2 linked regions of the Mus musculus genome follow. The protein of the gene in region 1 binds, or shares a complex with, the protein of each later gene. Links are inferred from orthologs where the notes say so. Each region holds a gene or a part of one and is shown on either strand. Other genes may lie near its edges.

Region 1 (4,114 bases):
CTATGGGCCAAGCACTTAAACACATGAGTCAGTGGTGGCCACTTCTATTCAGACAACCACAGAACTAGAGTAAGACCAAGAACCTCTTCCCATTTCACACATGCGCATGGGATTGTACAGAGGCAGCTACCTAAGGTAGGTTGTGGTCACCCAGGCCACCAAGCCCTGTGAGTTCTCAGGGACACCTCTGTGAGCAGAGATCCAAACTTCCTCTGCACACACAGATCATAGGCCTGAGAATGGCCCCCCAACCAGTCATCTCCCTCCAGGACCTCCAGGTTAGCCCTGGAGGCTAGAGCTTCACTGCCCACCTGTCCCCTGCTGGTCCCCCAGGCTAGGGTTGACGTCTCTTCCAGGAGGACTGTCAGGCCCCAGAGGGCCTACTAGCCTCAGCCTGTCTTCTGGATGTCCACCAAATATTCCTCTGAAATTTTACCATTTTATTAACACTAAAGTAAATACCTTGTAAAAACATCTCAAAAACAGAGTAAGGTATGAAATGAACAGCAGTCCCCTCACACACACACACACTTACACGCCCATATATACTCACATACACACATACATACTATCACACTCACACACACATACACATATATACACTTATACACACTCACACACCCATATATACTCACATACACACATACATACTGTCACACTCACACACACATATACACACACACACACTCACATATGCATACACACTGTCACACACTTACACGTAGATACATCCTTACACACACACATACATTCCTACATATGCACACACATCTGTGCGCACACACACACACTCATACACACTGTCACACACATGCACACACACACACACATGCACCGCCTGTCACCATACCCATCAGCTATATTTATATTCTCATCCTGCTTCAGCTAATATTTCCTGACACTTACCTTGAAAAACGGAGTCCAGCTCACCTTCCTTCTTTTCACACGCTCCCACCACTTATGGTTTTCTGCTCTGAATCCCCCACTCCCTCTGAATCCCCCCACCCAGGCGCATTCTCTGGCTCTCCTTTGCCACATTCTCATGGTCATGTGTTCTGTGCTGCCCACCTGGAAAGAAAGCTAACAGGAAGATGGAGAGGGGAGACAGATACACAGACTGTTAAGGGTAGAAGGACCTCAGGTGTAGCTTTGCCTTGTCTTGCCTTGCCGTATATCCTACGTTTACCTGGAACGTACTGTATAGCTCAGACAGGCTTCCGACCTCTCCATTCTTCTGCATCAGCCTCTTGGGTGCTGGGACTGGGATGCCACCACATCTTGCTTTCATAAATGCTATTTGGGGTCCTGTTTTGTGCTTTTAGGAGTTAAACTGGCCCTGATAAGGCTGTGAAATCTCACAGCTCCAGGAGGAGCCATTAATCCCCAGTTAATCACCATACCACCCCACCCCACCCCAGCCCTGCCAATTGTAGACCCCAGCCAGGCTTGGAGCAGGCCTGTTCCTAGACTGCTGTCCTGGCCCTTCCACATCAATCATTAAGCAAGAAAATGTCATATAAACATGTCTGCAGACCAATCTTAGGAAGCCTTTTTCTTAATTAAGATTCCCTCTTCCCAAATATGTCCAGGTTTGTGTCAAGTTCAAAAAAACCAACCAGCATACATGGTTTGGGAGGCTTTGATGAGACTCAGCCAACATAAAGTGAGACCAGGGGCCAGCTTGTATGTTCAGAGGACGTTATCCCTCTGAGGTAGGAATAGCAAGACAAAGGAAAGGGTCCCCCAGGCCTGGTGTCCAACAGGATCATGGAGATTGGCCTGAAAGAATTGGCTATTAGTAGCTGTGGACAAGGAGAGTCGGCCACCTGAGGACTGAACATAAACCTTCCCAGATATACTCTGGTCTTCTAAGGTGGGCCCAGTATCACAGACCTGTTCTGCTGCCTCAGCTTCTTCCCTTGACACCCACTCTGCCTTCCATTGAGAGCATTTGGAGAGCCCTGATCCCAACCATCCAGGTTCCAGGGAGGTCCTACCACTGCTTGCCTGAGGTAGACACCCCCCATCCCACTTACAAAAGCATCAAATGCGAAGAGGCACACAGACCTCTTAGTAAAAAAGAAGAAAGTATCAGATGGTAGGTGGATGCGCAGAGCCTCTCAAAGTACCATAGAGCTCTAAGAACGAAGACTCTGGAGACATGGGACTGTCCTGCACTGAGCCTCAGATTTTTTAATGTGTGAAGCAGTACATTTGGCACAGAGAAAGTGAAGATGGAACATGAATACGTGTAAAGAATAGAACCTAGGACTGGAGGGGTGGTTAAGAGCACTGGCTGTTCTTCCAGAGGACTCAGGTTCAGTTCCCAGCACTTACATAATAGCTCACAACTGTGTGTGACTCAAGTTCCAGGGGATCTGGAACCCTCTCTGGCCTCTGTGGTGCACATGCGTGTGGTGCACAGACATACATGCAGATAAGACATTCATACACTGTAAAAGGGAACATACTCAAAAGAGTAGATGCTACCCATTATTGCCCATTATTATTTTTAAATGAAGGCATAACAGCACTGTGCTGTGAACTTGGTAGTCTCATTTGCTGGGTCTGTGTGCCCAGCTCCTTTGAGTCTGAATAAGAGGACCTTAGAGAGTCTAAGACCCTCAGGCTCTCTCTTGCTTGTCCCCACATCCATTGATACCACAGTCAACCTTGCAAAGGCTATGACTGATATCAGACTCTAAAGGTAGTGAGCCTAGAACAGGGCCCGGGTCCATGGACTCTTGTATGTTGTCATCCCCAGCTACCTGGACAGCCTGGATCGGATTGGAGCCGGTGACTACCAGCCCACTGAGCAGGACATCCTCCGAACCAGAGTCAAAACAACTGGCATCGTAGAAACCCACTTCACCTTCAAGAACCTCCACTTCAGGTGAGGCCTAAGGAGATAGGGCATGGTGATGGGCCCTGTGGTGGTGGGCCTGGGGATGTGGCAGAGAGACGAGGGAATGTTCATGCCCTGCCTCACTTTATCTGGATAGCCAGGTAGTGTCTTGCCTTAAGGACCTTTCTCATTTGGTCAGACAGATACCTGAAGAAGCCCATCTGGGTACTTGGTTTCTGCCAAGTTCAAAGGCTAAAAGCAGCAGGTGGCTTGCTTAAGAGCCCCCTGGAAGGGAACATGGCAGTAAGCCTCAACCAGGTGGGTACGCCCAAGCCATGCCTGGGAGACTAGAGCTCACTATAATCTCAAAGCTAGCGAGGCTGAGAGAGCAGCTCTCCTGCTCACGTGCTGGAGAACCTGGAAAGGGCGAGGCCTAAAAGAAAACCAGGTGTTCCCCAGACGCAGGCTCTGAGGGCCTAAGAACAAGGGCCTGAACTGTGCTGCCAGGTTCCAGGACTCTACTGGAGGTTATTGTCTCTCAAGAGTAACCTTCATGTGCTAACTAAGGCCTGGTGACCCATTCTGACTTCCAAGTTTGGTGTCTTGATATCAGGTGAAACTAGGAGACGGAGAGGTGAGGCAGGGCTTTGAGTCAGTCTATTTGAGCACACAGATCAGTCCTGGGACAGGTGTCACAGGGGATGAGAGCCGCCTGCAGTCCCCAGGGTGGCAGTGGCTCATCTGTCAGCCTGTTCCTCACTCTCACCTCTAGCTCTTAGGCGTCCCCGCCCTCACAGCTTTCCCTGACTCCCTGCAGGCTGTTTGACGTCGGGGGCCAGCGATCTGAACGCAAGAAGTGGATCCACTGCTTTGAGGATGTCACGGCCATCATCTTCTGTGTCGCACTCAGCGGCTATGACCAGGTGCTCCACGAGGACGAAACCACGGTGAGTTACCTCAAGTGAAAGCTGGCTATAGACCAAGTCAACAGTCCTCGGGCCTCACAGACAGGCTAGGCTGGGCACCCTTGCCTATTCTGTATTGCCAAGGGAGGCCAGTTCGGCAGAAGCAGCTGGGGGCTTCCTGCTGCAGTTTATATACAGATTCGCTACAGATAACATATCAGAGTTGGGGTCTTGGCTAGGACGCACCTTGTTAGTAAACAATGGAGTTACAGAGCTGTCAGACCAGAAAAAAAAAAAAAAAAAAGCAAATCCTACAAAGGCAGGCTGCAGCCAAGCAAGGGCATGCGCGCAACTAAAAGGATGG
Region 2 (4,562 bases), on another chromosome or scaffold:
GTAAAGTCCAAGACTGCCCACTGTCCAGCCTGTGGGTCTTCTAGAGGCTAGGATCCATCCTGGGTCCTAGGGGAAGCAGCAGAAAAAGACCTGACGGCTCAGAAGGGAGATCAGGAAAAGGAAATCCGCTGGGATTTCAATAACCAGAAAGACTTCCCTCACACGAGGACCCTAAAGCCACAAGGGTGGCTGTGGAGAGATCTAGATTTCTGGAAGCTGCCTGCACCAGCTCCCATAGCCAGCAGAGGTTAGACAAGGAGCCTTTGTGTCTGCTCAAAGGCCCCAGGAGGCTGCAGAGAGGCTCAGCCACCCAGCTCTGTGTATTCACCCTTCTCACTCTGGACAGGGCTGCAGATCGGACCCTTTCTGGACCCCTCCAGGGGCTGCGAATGGGACTTTAGTCAGCGGATACACAACTAACAAAGTCTACAGCCCTTGGGCAGAGAGCAAACTCCTCACCATAGGAAAAGGCTTGTTCTGAACTTGTCCGTTTATTTGGCCACCCCAAGACTCCCTGGATGGACACGAAAAGTAGGATCATGGAAGGACTGGCTTCATTTCGCAGAAAATGTGTCTTACAGTGCTAAAGGTGGCCTAGAACTTATACTAACAGATGCCTGAGTCAGAAATGGGAGGGGGCAGACACCCTCTCATTCATCCACCCCTTCACAGGACAGCAGTGAGGTGGCTGGTGTGGTCCTTGCCTTTTTGAGCTCAAACTAGGACAGGAATGGGGTTTGTGACTACAGAAAGTCTTCAGAGCAGGCCAGAGAGAAGAATTGAGGCAGTTCAAGATGAGAGATCAAACTAAACCAGGACTTCATGGACCCGTTAGTGACCTGAACGAAGAGCAAAAGCAGACGGAGGTGGTGAAGCCGGCAAAGATTTCTGCTGGTACCAGCAGTCTGAAAGCACATCCATCTGTCCATCCGTAAGTGACGCGGGATGGGGCAGCAGCGGAGGGAAGGCTGAGGGTCAGTATAAAGGTCCATCGGTGGGCAGTGACAGGAGCCAGGCCAGCACAAAGCAAACCTTGTAAAACTTGGGCGTCGCTGAAAATCGGTGAGCTAAGCAGGTGACCTCTGCTCAGCCAGGACGGTCGCCTTCCGCCTCTCCTTGCTCAACAGCCGTGGCGGACACGCTGACCGGCGGCGACACTGACCGACCGCGTCCCCAAGCGGGTGGCAGACTGGAAGCATCTGTTTAGAAGGGTTGGGGGCGGCTCCGGCGTCTGCCCAGAGTCTGCCCCGCCCTCCTGCTCACAGCCAGGCTATGGGGTGCGGAGCGGGGCGGAGTAGGGCGGGGACCGCGGCGCTTCCAGGCACGTGGGACCCTGCGCCACTCGGCATGGGACTCGGGCACCAGGAACAGCGGCGGCAGCCCTTGGAGGGGACCAGCGCAGCGGGGAGGTGAGAGGTGCTTCCTAGAGGGGAGCGGACACCAAGAGAGGTCGCCAAGTGAGGCCTGGGGACGGGAGCGCCGGTCGAGTCAGCGCCAAACAGGGAGAGCCCATTACGTGACTGTCCCGAGGGCTCGGGCTCCCAGCCCTTGTACTGCGCAAAACTGGGCGGTGAGAGCCGGCTGCCGGTGCGCTGATGAACTTTGTTTCCTCTAGAGCGTGATCTCGGTGAGTGTCATCTTGGTGTGTTTACCAGCATACTGGGGGAATCTGTGTGTTAGTGGGCAAATGCGCACACCCTTAGGGTGTGAGTGACTGAACTTAGTCTGTGTGTACCCCTGGGGCGTAAGTCTGTGGGCTAAGAGACCTGGGAATCCTGGAGACTTCTTGCGCTTGGACTCTTAACTCTCCCCAGAGTCAGTCTGGGTAGCTCACTCGGTGTCAGTGAGGTGTCAGTGAGGAACCGGAGGCAGTGGCAGCAGCGGCGGGGTTGTGGGGTTGGGAGTGGGGGGTGCGGTGGGGTGGGAATGTGGGTTGCTAGTGCAATTTCATATAAGGACAGTTAAGACTTTGATCTGTCTGGAAACTTTTAATCGGGCAGGTGGTGCTGTATGAAGGGTCAGGCAGAAGAAAGACAGTGTTCACCTCACTAGGGCTACAGTGTGTGTGTGTGTGTGTGTGTGTGTGTGTGTGTGTGTGTGTGTGTTACTGATCTCCAGGAGCTAGACCCAAGTGTAGATCCTTCTGGGAACTAGCCTTTCCAGTTTGGAGATTTATAGGGCTAGGTGACTGCTGTGCTCAGAATGGCATCCCTAGAGTCCCTGGGTCAGCAGCCTTGTTTTGGATCAAGTTTGGAATAGTGGCTTTTGAAGATCAGGCTGGGGCGGCAGGGAAGTGGCAATTATCTGTGGGTGGGAGTGGGAGGAAGGAGAGTCTCTGAACAGACTCTACACTGCTGCCAGTGTGGGTCCTGCATGAGGGCTGGGGACAAGCCCTGCTGCGGAGGTCTGCCCCTCTCCTTTTCCATGCTTTGGATACTCCAGAGTTTTGAGGACATGGGCAGGTTGGCATACTGGGTAATCCTCAGAAATGGCTGCCCAGATGCAGAGTGAGGTTGTGGCCTTTCCGGGATCCCTTTTGCCCACCTACCCCAGGCACCAGATGAGCATGTGAGGATGTCACCAAGGCCTCATGGGTGACACCAGGAGTTCTTTAATTTCCTGGCTGTAGTCTTTCTTCTTAATGAGAAGTGCTTATGCTACTATTGGAATGTTGTTGAACTGTTACTTGTTACAGTTTATAAGAATCCCTCATCTTTTCCTCCTAAAGGCCCCATGAGAAAGGAACTATTGCCTTTATTTTGTAGATCAGAAAATAGAGGCTTGGAGAATGTCTTCTCTAAGGTCACAAAGCTACATAAATAAAACCTGGGACTCCGCTTACCTGCCCCAGCTGAGGCCTCCCTGCCCAGGGCCAAAGTTTCAGGATGAGGCAGTGCTACTTATTTCTAGGCTGAGGGGAGTTTGATTTCTCCAGTGTCTCACTCTGTGTCCTGGATGTCAGTCTATGGACCAGGCTGACCCCCAACTCGCGGAGACCTGTCCATAGCCTAACTCTGGAACTCTAGGATTAAAGGCAAGCACCACCATGCCTGGCTGCCCCCAGGAGCCTTTCTTTGGGTCTTTCTTGTGGCCTAATTGCCCAGCTGTTTATGGGATGACCACCATTATCCCCAGGTCTGCTCACAGGACCAGGAAGATCTTGCTGACCTGCTAACTAAGAAGTGCCCTCTGATGCATCTCTTCTCTCTCCTAACTGCCTTCCCTGAGCCTGTCTGTGCACCCTTTAACCTATAGTTTCCTCCTGAGATGCCTTTGGGTCCCTAAGCCATCAGAAGAGCCTAATGGGAAGAACATGGCTGCAAGACCCTCCTTACTCTCTAGAGAAGGTGGTTAGTTATATTATGAAGCCCGGCCATCTCTTTCTCACTTTGTCCTTATTATCTGGCACAGATGGAGCACATAGCAGGTGCCGGGGAGTAGTTGGGAAATGAGCAACCAGGTGCTGTGGGTATTCAGAAGAGAAAGGTCTTGATCCATGAAGAGTCGCTGTAGTGGATCCCCCTGTCCCAAGACAAGGTCTTATGAAGCCTAGGCTGGCCTTGAACTCAGTGTGTAGAATGACCTTAAACTTCTAATCTTTCTGCTTCCACCTCTTGAATGCTGGGCTCGTAGGCATGCACCCATTATATTTGGTGCTGGCAATCAAACCAAGGGCTTCCTGCATTCTAGGTAAACATTCTACCAACTGAGCAACATCCTAGTCCTTCAGTCTCAAGAGAGAGTAGCTCTCTATTGCCCTGTCTCCCAAACCCTAGGGCATATATCAATCTTGATATAGAATGAGTAGCAGGATTCTCTGATACAGAGAGTGACATCTGGACCCTGCTGGGCCCAACTGGATCCTCCATTTTGGTGTCCTGTCCCTGCCACTGAAGAAGAAAGGCCTGGGCACTAGGTCTTCCTCTGGCTTGTATGGATACAGTGTCCTGAAGAGTGCCTAGCCTCCAGTGCCATTTGTAAGAGAGACTTTGGTCAAGCCTGTGCTTGGGTTGGGAAGGAGGCTGACAGGGAGTCCCAAAGCAAGATGCTAGTTCTTCTGCCTGCATCATTATAACTATGGTGGTCCCCTACTCTCCAAACTCTGGTACTAACCACCTTCCATGTGGTACCATCTTTGTAAACTCTGAGAAAGCCTTCCCTTTTAATCTGGAGAATACGCTCTCAGCTTGGCATTTGAGCCCTTTCAAATGAATTCCTTGGCCCCCACACATTCCATGCCACATAACCATCCAAGCCAGCCACTCATGACCTACTGGCACTTCCTCAACAGCCTGTCCCCTTGCCCACTGAGTCTGGCTTGGACTTCCTCCCTTCTCTTCTGTCTTCTTCACAACCCCAAGTTATCTATTAAGGTCCAACTCCTTGGGAAAAGCTTCCACTGACTACATCCCCAAGACACACGTTGTCCTGACTGTGGCCCCTGAATTCTTAGTCCCCTTGTTCCTTTTGGAGATGGTTGGATCTCCCAAAATGACCTAAACATTCCTGGCTCTTTTCCCAAAGCTTGACTGGGCACTCTTCTGGACCTGGAAGAGTTAACC

Evidence for each region.
Region 2: the proteins of Gnao1 (region 1) and P2ry2 are in contact, whole or in part, in a cryo-EM structure (PDB 9K20), measured with the Homo sapiens proteins. The link is inferred for Mus musculus from reciprocal best matches to the Homo sapiens genes GNAO1 and P2RY2. Residues at the interface, in NP_066268.1 of Homo sapiens: Ala31, Lys32, Asp33, Val34, Leu195, Gln305, Glu309, Glu318, Ile319, Tyr320, Cys321, His322, Met323, Val334, Phe336, Thr340, Asp341, Ile343, Ile344, Asn347, Leu348, Gly350, Cys351, Gly352, Leu353, Tyr354; in NP_002555.4 of Homo sapiens: Asn66, Ser68, His130, Arg131, Gly134, Val135, Pro138, Leu139, Leu142, Arg143, Met221, Arg224, Leu225, Ala229, Tyr230, Gly231, Thr232, Ser233, Pro237, Ala239, Lys240, Lys242, Ser243, Arg245, Thr246, Leu308.

The regions. Positions count from the first base shown.
Region 1 is NC_000074.6:93,946,640-93,950,753, forward strand, and holds part of Gnao1 (guanine nucleotide-binding protein G(o) subunit alpha), read left to right. Parts: intron 1-2,764; coding exon 2,765-2,893; intron 2,894-3,662; coding exon 3,663-3,792; intron 3,793-4,114. UniProt on the Homo sapiens protein: Guanine nucleotide-binding proteins (G proteins) function as transducers downstream of G protein-coupled receptors (GPCRs) in numerous signaling cascades.
Region 2 is NC_000073.6:101,008,777-101,013,338, reverse strand, and holds the start of P2ry2 (P2Y purinoceptor 2), read left to right. Parts: upstream 1-1,340; 5' UTR 1,341-1,627; intron 1,628-4,562. UniProt on the Homo sapiens protein: Receptor for ATP and UTP coupled to G-proteins that activate a phosphatidylinositol-calcium second messenger system. The affinity range is UTP = ATP > ATP-gamma-S >> 2-methylthio-ATP = ADP.